Linked DNA regions of Diceros bicornis minor. Each later gene encodes a partner of the first gene's protein in a complex. Links are inferred from orthologs where the notes say so. Each region holds a gene or a part of one and is shown in the gene's direction. Other genes may lie near its edges.

The links.
Region 2: the proteins of KLHL3 (region 1) and WNK3 are in contact, whole or in part, in a crystal structure (PDB 5NKP), measured with the Homo sapiens proteins. The link is inferred for Diceros bicornis minor from reciprocal best matches to the Homo sapiens genes KLHL3 and WNK3. Residues at the interface, in NP_059111.2 of Homo sapiens: Lys312, Arg339, Phe355, Gly357, Arg360, Thr386, Phe402, Gly404, Ser405, Gly407, Ser432, Ser433, Tyr449, Gly451, Arg454, Cys456, Ser481, His498, Arg528, Tyr577; in NP_065973.2 of Homo sapiens: Glu537, Cys538, Glu539, Glu540, Thr541, Glu542, Val543, Asp544, Gln545, His546.

The regions. Positions count from the first base shown.
Region 1 is NC_080740.1:56,373,436-56,380,688, reverse strand, and holds the start of KLHL3 (kelch-like protein 3), read left to right. Parts: upstream 1-4,200; 5' UTR 4,201-4,570; coding exon 4,571-4,584; intron 4,585-7,253. UniProt on the Homo sapiens protein: Substrate-specific adapter of a BCR (BTB-CUL3-RBX1) E3 ubiquitin ligase complex that acts as a regulator of ion transport in the distal nephron.
Region 2 is NC_080781.1:45,687,138-45,695,013, forward strand, and holds the start of WNK3 (serine/threonine-protein kinase WNK3), read left to right. Parts: upstream 1-4,674; 5' UTR 4,675-4,775; intron 4,776-4,904; exon of another isoform or gene 4,905-5,608; intron 5,609-5,734; exon of another isoform or gene 5,735-5,797; intron 5,798-7,876.

The DNA.
Region 1 (7,253 bases):
AACTTTACTAAATTCATTTATTAGTTCTAACAGAAGAGGGAACTCTTCCAAACTCATTTTATGAGGCTAGCATTACCCTGATACCAAAATCAGACAAGAATTCTATAAGAAAAGAAAATTACAGACCAATATCCCTGATGAACATAGATGCAAAATTTCTCAACAAAATATTAGCAAACTGAACTCAACAAGACATTAAAAGGATCATACACTCCGATCAAGTGGGATTTATTCCAGGCATGCGAGGATGGTTCAACACCTGCAGATCAGTCAGTGTATTACACACATTAACAAAATGAAGGATAAAAATCATATGATCATCTCAGTAGCTACAGAAAAAGCATTTGACAAAATTCAACATCCATTTGTGATGAAAACTCTCAACAAAGTGGGTACAGAGTGAACATACCTCAACATAATAAAGGCCATGTATGACAAGCCCACAGCTAACATCATATTCAATGGTGAAAAGCTGAAAGCCTTTCCTCTAAGATCAGGAACAAGGCAAGAATGTCCACTCTTACCGCTTTTATTCAGTAATATTGGAAGTCCTAGGCAGATCAGTTAGGCAAGAAAAAGAAATAAAAGGCATCCGAATTAGAGAAGAAGTAAAATTGTCACTATTTTCAGATGACATGATATTATATATAGAAAACTAATTAGCGACTCCATCAAAAAACTGTTAGAACCAATAAATGAATTCAGAAGAATTGTAGGATATGAAGTAAGTACACAAAAATCTATTGCATTTCTATACACTTGACATTTAAAACAAGGATAATAGTATCTTCTTGCAGAGTTGTTGTGAGGATCAAATGAGAGAGGAACATGTAAACTCTTGAGTACAGAGTCTGGCCCAGAGCAAATAGTCAAGGGTTGGCAGCTGTTTTTACTATTCAGGGGTTGTTATCTTGAGTCAAAGGAGATGATGGATGTGAAACACTTTGTAAACTTTAAAGTGTAGCACAAGTGCCGTGGGTGATTATGCTCTTGAATCTGTTCAGGGCACAGTTTCTTCCACCATCAAGTTCCTTTTCAGTATCTGCTTGGCTTCCTGGGTTGGGGGTGCTCTAAGCAGTTGCAGGGAGAGTCTACTCATCAAGTGGTCCAGAATCTGAGAGGAAGTTTTGATGATACAGGTATGGGTAGGCCTTAATTTAGCTCTGGTCTTGCCTAGTTCTTGGTGGCCTGTTGGTAGTAGTGACCATTGGGGATGTGGAAATGGTTCCAGGGGAGGCCCAGGGCTGTGCTTCCTGGCACAAGGTACCTTGACTGACTTTCTTCTTGACCTCAGAGCCAAGGGCTCACAGAGCTATAGTTTGGTAGCATTGGCATTTATTGTAGTTAGTGCTGTGGAGTTGATTCCAGCAGAGCTGAACCCTGCCTGGTGTTTTTGCACCATCCTTTCACCTTCTGGTGCTATATCAGACAAGGCTCTACTGCTATTTATAGGGTTTTCATGGCCAATTTTTTGGAAGTGGGTGGCCAGGTCCTTCTTCCTAGTCTGCCTTAATCCGCTGAAACCTGTCCACCATGGGTGACCCTACTGGTATTTGAAATACCAGTGGCATAGCTTTAACATCACAGCAACATGCAGCTGCTGTAGTATGACAAATGACAGATGGGTGGTGTGATTCCCTGACCGGGAAATGAACCTGGGCCGTGGTGGTGAGAGCACCAAATCTTAACCACTAGACCACCAGGGCTGGCTAGCGTTGGCACAGGCGATGAAAATATCTGCTAATGGTTGTTGAGTGCTTATTACAGGCCAGGCTCTCTGCTAAGTGCTTTGTATACTTTCACATTGAAGTTTAACAACTCTGGGAGGTGGGTTCCATTATTATCTCCTTTTTACGGATGAGAAAATTGAGACCCTGTAAAGTAACTTGCCTAAGGTCATGTTTTTGATAAGTACATTTGGACGTTAGTCTGTCTGGTTCAAATGATCTGAACTCTTTTCATTGTTCTAAGTGATCTTTGCATTTAGCTGTGCATTAGAGTCACCTATGAAGTTCATTAAAATTCCTGCTCCTTGGGCCCTAATTCTATAGGTGTGAGGTGGAGCCTGGCCTTGTACAAACAGGTCCATTCTGTGGCCCAAAGGACGTTTGGATAATAAAGTAGAAAATGTAAAATGTAGCTCTGAAACTAGAGAAGATTAGGGTGGGAACTTTGTGCCAGGAGTCTGGAGACTTTGCTTCTTCGCTCAGCTCTGCCGCTTGTTTTGCTAAATGATCTTCTCTGAGTGTTTTCTGTTCTGTGTACCTCTCGTGGATAGATTAAGTGGTAAATAAAACGTGCAGGTGGTAGTACTATGGCTTCACGACATACGTTGTATTGACATTGGTTAGCATTGCAAAAGTAGATTGCGAAAGAAATTCTGTAAAGTTTTTATACTGGCTCTCAATAGTTGTATATTGAAACCTGAATATGCTCAGCCCTTAAGTATTTCCTCTTCTGACCTTTTCTTCTTTCTCTCTGGTTTGTTAGATATGACATTTCCCCCCTTTCCTGAAGTTGTGAATGAGCATATAAGTTGTGAGAGAGAGACTCATCTTATTCTTATGTCCCTTTATGAGTCACCCGGTTGTGTTCCTGGTGGATGTCTGCACTCTGGCATGGATTCGGGGATTTAGTTTCCTTATTTGTGATGTTCAGCTTCTCCTGGTCCCTGTGATTCACCTCAAGAGGAAATACCTGGAGCAGAGCCACAAGGCTGATGAGAGGAGGAAGGGACACAGAGGGAGAAAGATACGAGGGGTATTGCTGTGAAACGCAGAAGTGGTGATACAGGGCTGTAGGGTATAAGTAAAATCACCCAGGCCTCTCACTTGAGAAAGAGCCAGTTTGGGCAATGGCCTCATCTAAGAGGACACTGAGGTGTCAGGAGAGATAATCTTTGAGAACAACCTTTAGCCAGTTTGAGTTCAGGAGGCTATATAATGTTTAAGTTACTCTTAATTTCTATTACCTCAATGTCCCACCCTCCCCTCCTTTGGTTTCAGGGCTTTTTCAGTGAAGAAACTTAACAGGTCAAAATTATAACAGTAATAGATTTACTGAGCGTCTCTCATACTTTCACATACATCAGGTTATTCTCCCTGAAGCTCTACAACACATTAGAGTCCAGTAAAAATTTCTTCTTAAACAATCTTACAGATTACTTTAATGAGAAGAAAAATGGAACATTTAAGACATTTTTTAGAATCATGTGTTTTTAGAGCTGAAGGGACTCTCGAGATCGTATGGTCTGACCCTATCTTATGGATGAGGAACTGAGGTCCAGAGTGTGGAAAAGACTTGTTGAGAGTCACTCAGCTGGCTGGTGGTGGTATGGATTCTGAAAAGCACAGGTGTGACATGGAGAGTTCCCAGAAGAGAGATGCTCATGTATGATTTTTCTGAGGTATTAAGGAAGCTTCGGAGCCCGTTTTTGTGGCTAAACAATCACCAGTGACTGATTGCCCCAATTACCTCTAAGCCTCCTGGCCGTGGCTGGGAGACACAGACTGGCCTTCTGCCTTCTCCCAGATTGTGTTTTAGAGTGAAGTTAGTCTAAATTGAGGCTGAGCAGCTGGAGATTACAGGGTGCAAGAGATCTTTGGCTGAAGATGGGGGTTCGTTGGGAGACTTGCTAGTTGGAGCCACAGCTTAAGACAAATTTCAATATGACAGGCTTTAAAAGGAAAATATTAGCGTTGTGCTATGAGATTTGTGGTCTTTCAATATGGCCTAGGGAAGTAAACATATGCAGTATTCATTGTAATGGCTTTACTGCAGTGGTCTTTGGCCTGTTGCAGTGAAATAGGGTTGTTCAGTTTCACCTATTTCTACCAGTTCCCTTTTTCTAATTTCTCTCTGCATTCTTCTCAGTTCTATCAGACTCTTTCCCCCTGACTTATCTCCATCTATCAGACTCTCAGAGCTACTGTAGATTTTGGGAGGAGGGATTGGAACATGAGCTGTGACCTGCAAGTCAATTTCCCCAGGTGGATAAACTCCACTGCAAGCCACAGAGGGGCCTCCTCATTCCAGCAATCTGGCCAGGCTGACAGGCTCATAGCCTATGGGGACAGAGGCGGGGGTGGGGGCCAGTATTTCTTGGGCTGGTGAGGAACTCCCTGAGCTTTTACAGTCTGGGCAGAGGAGGTGGGAGGCCCTGGGGTGGTCTGGTCGCCTGTGCTGGGAATGCCTGGACAGATGTGGAAGCAGCTGGAAAGGTGGCACCGTACTTGGGTCGCTAGAGCTGCGCTGTTCCTAGGAGACGGAGGAGCAGTGAGCCTGTGGGGGAGGGGGAGCAAGTGGGTTGCTGCTTTTAGCAGCTGAAAGGGCTGCAGGGAGCTCTGGGTAAGACATTTTCTGCTGCTGCTGCTGCTGCTTCTGCGTTAGAAGCTGCCGCGAGTAAGTCAGAGGAAGGAGGACCGAGAGGGAGGAGGCTTCGTCTGCAGCCATGCTGAATCACTGTTGCTGATCAGATCTCCCGCTAGTTGGCTGGGAAAACCGAGAGCAGAGCTAGGATCCCCGGTGCGTGCACATTTCAGCAGCTGCCACCCCAGCTGGGCCTCGCACAATGGAGGGTGAGAGGTATGTATGTATAAGTATGTGTGTGTGTGTGTGTGTGTGTGTGTGTGTGTAAGTGAATGTGTGCTCGGGGTGCAGCTACCAGCTTTTGTGCTTGTGCTGGTTAGGCAAGATTGGAAGGTCTGGCCACTGATGAATCCTAACGGGCGGCAGAGTCAGACAGAGAAGGCAAGCCCCTTTCTCCAGAGATCTGGCTTCTGCAAGGGCAGATCTGGGTTTGCTGGGCAGCTGAAAGAAGGGCTTTCCTGGCTGGTATTTGGGAGTAGTTTCAGCAAAGGCTGAATCAGGATTGCCTTTCTTAGGCTGTTTCAAGGAGGTGTTTCCCCTTTGCTGGTTACTGTCTCTGGGGTGGTTTTTCTTGTTGGGGGAGTTTGATGTTATAGCAGGGTTGGCCTGGCATAGAGTGCTTGCATTTTCCCACTAAAGTGCTCAGATTTTCAGTAAGCGTGCCATGCTGATGTCTTTCCTAAAAGTGTGTGTGTATGCATGTATGTGTGCCTGTATACACACACAAGTTCAAGTAAGAAGGAGAAAAACTCATTCAGATGACACTTGCTCTGAACTGACTTTCATTTGAATTGAAAAGTTTGTGAATGATACTGGAAGGTGTGTGTTTTAGAGGAACTCTTGCTCCTTCCGTCAGGGGTTTCTTAGGAAATAGGAATCAACAGAAGGGAATTTAAGTACTTCTGTTGACCTGGATCTAACCAGTGAGGGTTTGTTTCCTGGCAGGTGCATACATATAAATTTTAAACTATTATCTGAAGATCTGATTCTTTCATTGTGAAGGTGCTCACTGCGGTTCAGGGGCCGGTTATTCCTCTGTCTGTGTGCTAAAACATCTCCTCATGTTGTGCCAGCCTTTTCAGTATGTGGGTCTGCAGTTGGTAGAGAACCAGGCTTGCCATTTTCCTTGAGGTGAGAAGAATGCAGGGAGGGGTCAGGCCATGGCAGTGGACCACTGAGGGGAGGGCTGCTGCTCTGAGTTGCCAGTTTGATGCAGATGGTAACTGGCTGGTTAAATGATAACAGATTCAACTAAATCAATACTCTCTGGAGAGTACCTCAAAACACTTTCCTTTGTATGGATTGTCCCAACTCTTGCATCGCATGGGACAGAGTGATGTCATTAAACATATCTAGACCCCATTAGAACTGGCATGATTGTTGGGTGGCTTCTTGTCTGAAGAGGACCCAGGGACTGTGTTTCTTGATGTGATTCCCTCCAGAAGAGTCTGGGATTTTTTAGACTGAGTATGCTGCCGATACAACTTCTCCCTGTGTGTTCTTTGCAACAGGAGCTTAGTGTTGGACTCCTTGTGGCCTCTGGGCAACAGAACGTCTGAAAGCCTGTTCCATAGGCTTGGGGCAGAGGTGGGCAGTGTCCTCACCTTCTCCTCTTGGGGTCTGGTAGCCAGCAGAAGGGCAGGGGTGATGTGAATCAAGGTATTTGCTTGACCCGTGGCATATTGGGGCTGAAAGGTCCATGTGAGACTAGCAGCAGCTGATCAAAGTGCTGCTTCCCAAGCATTTTGGGGCATCTGCTGTGTTCCCAGACCTGTGTTCAGAAATGTATCAGTCCTTGCCCCCAAGGAGCTCTCTTGTTCTTCAACACGCTGGTTCCTCTCAGCTGGGATGGCTGATGCCTTCGGTTTTATGACACCTGTTTCTTGCACTTGTTCTTTTGCTTTTCCCCTACTAGAGGCAGAGAATAGGCAAGAAATCCAAACTGAGCAGCTTCCAGCGTTCACCAGGTCACCCAGCTCATTCCCTTTTGTTCCCTCTCCAAGTCCAGCTTACCATGCCAGGCATTCAAGTCTTCTGAAACCTGGCTGCAGTCTCCATTCCCAGTGCCTGTACCCCTGCCAAGAGATCTGTTGGTCTCTTTTGTGATTATCCATCCTGTATACTACTACATCCAGCTGCAGATCCTTAGCTCTCAGAGTTCCTTTTGCCTGGAATGCCTTTCCTTTCCTCTTTCCCAAAAGTTATCTGTCTATCAAGGCTGTTTTAAAATTCCACTTTGTCTTGGGAAACTTAGCTTTTCTTGTCCTGGCTGATGTTCGTCCCAATTCCAGTACCTCTAGTTTGTATCTCATAGTTGGGTACTGAATAATAGGCCTACTCACTAAATCTTTTTGTGCTTTTGTTGATATATCTTACAAGTCCCCAAACTTGGAGACAGGTCCTCAAGGGCAAGGACGGTGCCGGTACCTCTGAATACTCCTCATTGACTACTGTGTGTCTGCATGCATAGTAGGTACTGGGTAATTATTTGCTGATTAGCTGATAACTTTTGTGGGAAGCTCTGATAACTAAAAAGAAAGTTGGTGAGAGAGGAAATTGTAACCTTTGGTCAGTAGGTTCATCCTTGGATATCGGCCTTATTACCTCGGCATGGGTAATTGACCCCATGGAATGCTTTGAGGTAGGGGGAGAACAGGGGGAAGTAGCCTTGTTTTACAAGTTCCCTGGGAAACCTAGAGCCAGAGAAGTGAGTGACTGGCCTGGGATCACATGTCAAACCTCCAGAGACTGGAGGGATCCTGAATCTGGGGCTTGTTCCACACTTAACCCACTGAAGCTTAATTGGGGCTGTTTTTAAGCATTAAAAATTTTCAGCCAAGAGATTTCTAATGAATAATTTTCTTTCTTTGCCATGAGGGTATGAA
Region 2 (7,876 bases), on another chromosome or scaffold:
ATGCAACATGGGCCTGCCAGACTGTAAAGAAACACTGTGGGCAGAGGCAATGGACCTCTGACTGCTAAGTTGTGTTGCCTGATGACCAAGGACTTAAGGAACTTCCACTCCCAGGCCTCAGCACTGTGTAATAGCCCAGAACTGTGGCATGAGCCCGGGGTGGAGGAATGTCAAGAAGAATTGAGGTTATTTTACCAGCCCCATGGAATGAGGGGCTTGGAGTCTAAAATTAAGTGGAATCACAGACAATAAAGAAAGATACAACAAAATTATTATGAGCCTGAACTCTGAACTAAACTAACTGGGTTCAAATATAGCTCTGCCATTTACTTGCTGTGTTACCCTGGGCAAGTTATTTGACCTCTTTGTGCCTTGGTTTACTAATTTGAAAAATGGTGTTAATAATGGCACTTACCCCATAGGATTCAATGGGTTTGTATAAAGCACATAGTAAATGTTATTTCATTTACATAGTAAATTATTTACATAGTAAATAATATTAGCTATTATTATTATTATTATTATACTTCTTAGTGGTAGACTCTGATTCATTCCTGCTACATGAAGGATTTGTAACAAGATTGCTTTGAAAAACTATTATGGAATGTTGGAACAGATACAGAAGAGTCAGTTGAAGGGAAGGAGGGAGGGAGAAAAGGAGAGAGGAAGGAAAGGCAGACAGGCAAATGCAGCCTTGTTAGCCCAGGAGACTGAATTCTCTGATTCCCAGAAGAATACACTATGTTAGACTATACATATCTAAAAGAACTGATCTTCTTCTGGAGAAGGAAAAGGCTGTTCCAGCAACTCCAACTCAGGTTCTGTATCCTGTCCACATGGGGACTTTGCAGAAGAGTTGAGATTCCAGACACTTACCAAGTTTTAGAGAAGTGATGTGGGCTTACTCTTTTTTTAGGTTCTCCAAGAGTCAGTTGCCAAGGCAAAGGCACTTACCTTAAATTTGCCCCCTGATATATGGCCTAGGTCACATGAGGAAAGACTGTCTGTAGGAAGAGGAGATCAGATTCTATAGTAAGGCTCGAGAAATTGCACTGTCCAATCTGAAAGGTGGAGTGTTTCCAAGTCAGTCATTAAACCAAAGATAGCTGTTCATTTCTGAGGTAGGTGATGCTTATTCTTACTCAGGAGACACTCACCTCGTGCTGCGAGGAAAGAGAGCCTCCTGGGAGGACATTAACAGGTGAGAAATTTCCCCAGTGCCCTGGGAGTTACTGTCTTGAGCAGGGGGCATCTGGATGGGAAGTAAATTTTCTTTGCTGAGATGCTAAGATTTAATAGATGGAGAATGTGGCTGCAATATTATTTTGAGATATAAATGGATTTTTTTCTTTCCTGTATTTTTCCCCTTTTGTCTGCCTGCTCCCCTTTCCCTACTCCGCAACAAAGTAGTCAGCTTTGTGGTGTATCTAAGGGGAGTGAGGTGGCAAGGCAGGAAAACAAATACTCTGCCAGTTTCTCTGGTTTTTGTGTTCAAAAAGTGTAAGTACTAGGGAAGGGGGATTAGGGTTCAGGAGCAGAGACAAAGTATCTGGGCCAGAAAACTAGAAGGAAGAAAGATTTGCATAAGCCTAAAAAAAGATTCTTCTCTTCCTCACTCCCCTCTCGCTGCGGGGAAGAGGCAGAGAGAGCTCTGTGGAAGCTCAAGCAGCATATACTCCCAGAAACAACGCTTGGTTGGCAGGAAGATTCAAGAGAGGAAGGGCTGTGTGGAATGTCTAGGTAGATGGACGAACAGGTAACCTTGGCAATGAGTTCTGTGCCTCCACTGTGGCAGAGATGTTGGAGAGGACAACAGCACTTGAAAAGATCCATGTGGGCAGAGGGCTCAGCAGTAACTGACAGGATCTAAGGACCTAGAAGCATATAACTGTATTCTGCCCCCACTCTCCACCCCCATGCCTGGGTACTACATAAGATCCCCAAACTGTGGCATCACCTGGGATAAGGAAAAAGAACATCAAGAATGACTTATATTGTTTTCCCAATAACCTGGTAAAAGGAGGGCTCAGGGTCAGAAACTGAGTTTCAGAAATAATCACAACTCTACCCATGGCTGTAGTAGTCAGCTAACTGTAAACTTGGAGGTTCATCTTGGTTCCACCTTGTTGACTGAAGGAGTTGCCATCCTGTGTGGTAGGGAGGAGATCTGCATCCCCATCTGCTGGGATGCTGGGGTCTAAAAATGGTTCCAATGAAGGCTTTTGTAATTTCTTGGTACCAGAGCCTTCAGATAAGATGAACTAGATTATTGGAAGGATGTTTTCCTGGAATAATGTAAAGCCAAATTATAAGTGGCTAATATAAGTCAAGGGGCCGGCCCCGTGGCTTAGTGGTTAAGTGCATGTGCTCCGCTACTGGTGGCCCGGGTTCGGATCCCGGGCGCGCACCGACGCACTGCTTGTCTGGCCATGCTGAGGCGGCATCCCACATACAGCAACTAGAAGGATGTGCAACTATGACATACAACTATCTGGGGTTTTGGAGAAGTAAAGGAGGAGGATTGGCAATAGATGTTAGCTCAGAGCCAGTCTTCCTCAGCAAAAAGAGGAGGATTGGCATGGATGTTAGCTCAGGGCTGATCTTCCTCACACACACACACACAAAAAAGTCAAATTTTCTATTTGATGTATAGAAACATCACAAGTGCCACTTGAAAGTCAGTGGAAATGAGTAGGAATGTTCTCTGCCACCCATTATTGACTAGCTATAATTGCCCAATCCCCTTTGTGCCTATAGTGGCATTTGTGCTGAGTTATGGACAGGTTGCTTCAAACAGAAGAGCACAGACATCAATAAAAGGCCTAAATTGAGAAGGGCCTGTACTTGGACGGGGTACACACCTGTTTGATTTTCTAATTTCTGAAGTTTGTAAAAGTTACACTACTTTATAGTTATTTAGCAAATGTCAAAAAGGGACTTCTTGAAAGGGTTCACATCTGAGCGGGTTGAAGGGCTAACATTTCCACATATTGTTCTGTGTTGATTACATCATCAGGCTCAGAGATGAAGTAGGAGGAGCAGGCTACAACGGAGGAAGGTACCTATTGATTTTCCTTAAGGTGGATGTGTATGGTGGTGGTGCGAGTAGGGTGATATTGAAAAATAAAAATGGTGGGCACAAGTTTCTCCTTACCATCTCAGTGGGAGTTAGGACCTACAAAAACTTGGAACAACTTGGTAACCTTTGAAACTGCCCTTTGGTGGTTATCTGGCTATGCTTCCTCTTTTCCTCAAAGTAGTCAACAATTCAACAGGGGAAAGGGATTATCTTCAAGGGCAGTGAGGAAAGAAGGAGTTTGGGAGACCCCATCCATTCTGCAGCTAATTTGGAATGCAGAGAACTTTAAGGTAGAGTGTTTGCACTATTTGGAGACATTACACCTTGCTCCTCCAAATTTACCCAGGAAGGAAGATCTCTACAGGTAAAATAGCTGGACCTCATAGCCCCGAATTTCATTTCCTCAGTCTCCCTCCATTGTCAAAATTGGAAGATGGGGGTTTAAATTTATTAAGGGCATGGTCTGGTTTCCTTACATGTTCTGGAAATACTCGGATTAATAAGCAACATTCAAGAGGAAAGGTGCAGAGACAAGAAACAAGGCTACGATGCCTCCCACCATTCCACTCCATTTGGACTCAGGAAACCTCAGAGTTAAATTTACTGATGGTTTTTTAAAGAGCTGAAAAAGGCCGAGGTTCCGAGGCCTACAGAAGGAAAAGAAAAAAGCAAGTGGTGGACAGAAGAGAGATTGGTATAACTCAGTGATAGAGCCCTGAGGTTGGGCATTTTCCACACAGCCGCCTACCCTCAAGGCATCCTGCTAAGGCTTCAGGGGCATTCGGAAAGAAATCCCACCCTTTAGGAGCTTTCATTCAGGGGCTGTGACACCAGATGCAGCTTAGGGGAGTGAAAAATGCATGGGCTCTGGAGTGATCACACGTGGGTTCAAGTTCTGACTCCTCCATACATAGTTGTGTGAACTTGAGCAAGTCATGTCCATTTTCCCTGGCTGAGCCTCAGTTTCCTCCCCTGTGGAGCCAGGATTGTTCATGTGAGAACGACAGAAACAATTCTACGGTACTACGCCTGATACCGTGCACGAAACAGTTCTTAAATAAAGCCGCTGCGCGGAGGTTAACATGTAGTGAAAGCTCGAAGGAGATAGCAGTCACTACCCACTACCAATTGGAGAATCTGAGAGACGGACGGTAGGAGATGCTGAGAGCCAGCCCCAGGGGTAGGTGGCCTTTCCGCATGCGCGCAGTCTAGGAGCCTGGCGGAGCAGCGAGGGGGCGTGGCCAGGTTTCTGAAGGCGTTGCTATGGCACCGAGGGGCCAGGGGAGGTTAACTGAACTCTTAAAACATAACTGCCTCCCCCACCCGCCACCGCTCGGGCCGAGGGCCATTGTTCCCGGTAAAATGGCGTCGGTAATCCCCCTCCCGGCCTGAGGCCTAACTAAGACTGAGGGTGGGAGTGGGACTGAAGGTGGGAACAAAAACTACAATTCCCAGGGTACTCCGGACCCGCCCGCGAGGCGCTGGGCACGTGCCCAGGCCTAGCGCTTACATGCGGTCAAAAATCCGTTTCACAGCTTCCCTTTCCCATCCTCGCTTTCGTTGTTGCCCAGCCCCTGCGCGCGCGCACTGCGGTCGGGGGTGGGGGGGAACATGCCGTGGCCGTTGCCCTCGCAACGTAGCCAGGAGGCCGGTATTTGTAAATCTGTGCTTCGACTTCTAATCCCGAAGCCGGCAGGTATGGGTCTCGCGAGAAAAGCCGGGAGTTGGAAAAAGGGAGTTCGGGGTAGCGGGCGAAAAGGTGTCGGCGGGTACCACATCTCAGGAGAGCTACCCGCATTTAGAGGCTGGCAGAGAACTGAGAGTGGGCGGTGGGTGGCTAGGAAGTAGTGTGTGCTTGGACTTTGTAATTTCTTTTTTGGAGGGGAGAGGGTAAAGGAGCCGTAGAGAGAGCGCTTTTGAACACACAGGAGGGGCCCCCTTGCTTCCTGAGATTTTCTTTTTTGGAAAGGAGAGAAGCCTTTCTCCTCGACGCGCATCCCTCTCCCGCCGCGTTCAAGAGGGCGGGGGAGGAGTGAGCACGCTTTAGTTGGCTAGCCACTCGGCACCTCGCAGCGATAGGGGCCGTTCAGAGTTGGGGCTGCTCCGTCGGCTTTCTCCGCCCCTCCCCCTCTCCTTCCCTCCCCTCCCTTCCCTGTCCCCCTCTGCCCCCCTCTTTCCATCTGAATTCCCTGGCTGGAGTACGCGTGCGCCTGCTCAGCTCCCGGGCGAGCGCGAGCTTGGGCTCGTACCCCACTCCCTTAACCCCGCCCGCTCTTCACCTACCGGCCGTAGCTGGCCCGGTGGGCTCGCGGGGAGACGCTCGCGCGCTCACGCGCACACAACGCGGAGCTGAGCTCGAGCCATCGAGGAGGGGCGTAAGAAGCATCGGTGGAGGCGATAGAGGAGGAGGCGGTGTGTGTGTATGTGTGTGTTCTACGGTGTGCCTCGTCGAGGGGCAAGTCAAGGCTTGAAAGAGGGCGAGGGAGACGCGAAAAGAGTCAGTCTCCCTCCGCGAGAGCCTCAAATCTGGTGAGGGTCCCGGGCCGGCCGGGGCGCTGGGAGAGAGGGAGGAGGCCGGGGGGCGTGTCTGGGATCGGGCTGAGAGATGAATGGGCCGAGGATGAATGGAGGGAGGCAGCGGCGGCCAAGAGTCTTTTCGGAGTAAGCGCCCTAGTGGAGGCTGCTTGACCGAGGCAGGGTGATTGCCTTCACCAAGAGGTATGGGACGAGGCCAGGCTCGGGTCTTCAGGGTTATCGGAGCTGCTGTCGGTGTGAGCGAACAGGCGGAGAGGAAAATTCAGAGAGGAAAGTGGGGAAAGGCAGGTTTGAGGTTGAGGTGCGTTTTTTGTCTTTTCTTTTTCGTTTTTGTTAGGGGCTGGCAACTTTGGGAGTTGATGGAAGACTAGGGGACGGGGAAGGTGAGGAGAATACATGAGGGGGGCGGGAGACGGTTGACAAAGGACTGAGTGATCTTATTTAAGAGAGATTGAGGCTACTGAAAGGGGAGATCGCTTCGGGTGTGGGAAGTTGAGTTTCAGTGGGTAATGGAGTGGGGGAAAGTGGATTTCATTTGGAGATTCGGTTGGTGTGTGAAGGTCGATAGGACTGGGTCGGGGTGAGGGATATTGCTGGCTAGTTGTGTAAATGGGTTAGGTTCAAGGAGATTGAGAGTTGTTATTTGAGAACGGGTGGTGTGTTCTGTGACCGACAGGTTGGTGATGGGGAGGAGATGGTATGATGGGGTTAGGATAAAAGTGGTGAAGTGGCTTCACTGTACTGAAAGAGAGTTTTTTTGACTAGTTTGAGTGGTGAAACATTTATGTAGTGGGATGTGAGTGGAAATCCTGCACGTGTTTGTCTCCGTATCTTGGGAGTTGATAGATCTTGTTAAAATGAAATTGAACCCTCAAAACAAATGCGAGTGGTATGGCTATTCCTTCTTGAGAGTTACCGTTGATTGAAGCAATTATATGAATAAATAGTCATGGAGGTTTGAAAATCTGTATAGTAGTGATTGCATCCAATTTTGGGAGGCATTGTTACCTGTTTTTCATCTATAGTAAGTTGTAATACCAAGAGAACTTTTGAAGAGGTCTTGATATATGACACAGAACAGCAAGTGTCTTCTAGACAGTTTCTATCCTCTGGATTGAGTTTAAAAATTGTGTAAAATCAACAGTCCAAAGGAAAGATTTTTTGCATTAAAGGATAGCTAAAATGCGCTAAAGCTGATTTTGAGCGCTAAAATAATTATACATGATTTTTTTAGTCATTCTGAATTTACCTTGTTTGAAAATTGGCACTTGCTTTTTAGTGTGAGTTTAAATTACAGCAGATTACTTGGACATTTTGTTCTCTGAATACATTACTTATCTTCTGGTAAGGATATCTTGTGATGGTCTCAATCTGTTCTGGGTCAAGATTAATAGTTTATGGATTTTTAACTTTTATGATTACGTTTTACAGACTTTACTGACATATATTCATTTATCTTGGAAAAGTTGCAAATTTGGGAACATTCCCATGCCCTTTTTCTTTTATTCTGCTTTGATGTTGGAAAGAGTGTAATCCTTGTTTTGGCTACCCAGAGTTTAAATACAAAAGTTAATACTATGTTCATATTCTCTTAGATTAAGATGAATACTTAGTGTATTAAGTAGTAGCACAGAAGTATAAAAGCACCATGAGAGCCTGGAAATGTTGCCCCAACTCTGGCAGGCAGGGTAGTCTCCCAGTTTTGAACTAGATGTTCCTGGAGTGGAAGAACATTCAAGTATTGAGGCTGGAAAGCATAAGCATGGTATATTTGGGGAGTGGAATGAGATGAGGCTGGAATCTTTGAGGCAGGAGTGAAGGACTCCTCTGCAGAGTTAGGAGCCCTTGACTGTTTAAGAAGGGGAATAACAAACAGATTTGTGGTGTTCATCTCTCTGCCTTTGCTTCTGATGCCCCGGGCCCGGCAACCTGCAGTGCTGTCTCTCTCCCCCTCCCTTTGAATTTGCACTCATTCTTTTTAGACTAACCTCTGTTGTTAGCTATTCCTGAAAGCCTTTCCTGATGCCCTGGGCCCCGGAACCTGGAATGCTCTCTCTTTCCCCTTCCCTTTGAATTTGCACTCATTCTTTTTAGACTAACCTCTGTTATTAGCTATTCCTGAAGGCCTTTCCTGCTCCCCCTTTTCCTTTTCCTAGCATCCTCCACCAAACTAGGTTAGGTGCCCCTCTTTAGTGGTCCCATCATACCTTGTACATATTTTTATTACTGTACTTCTGTTGGGAGGCAGGCGGGAAAGTTATT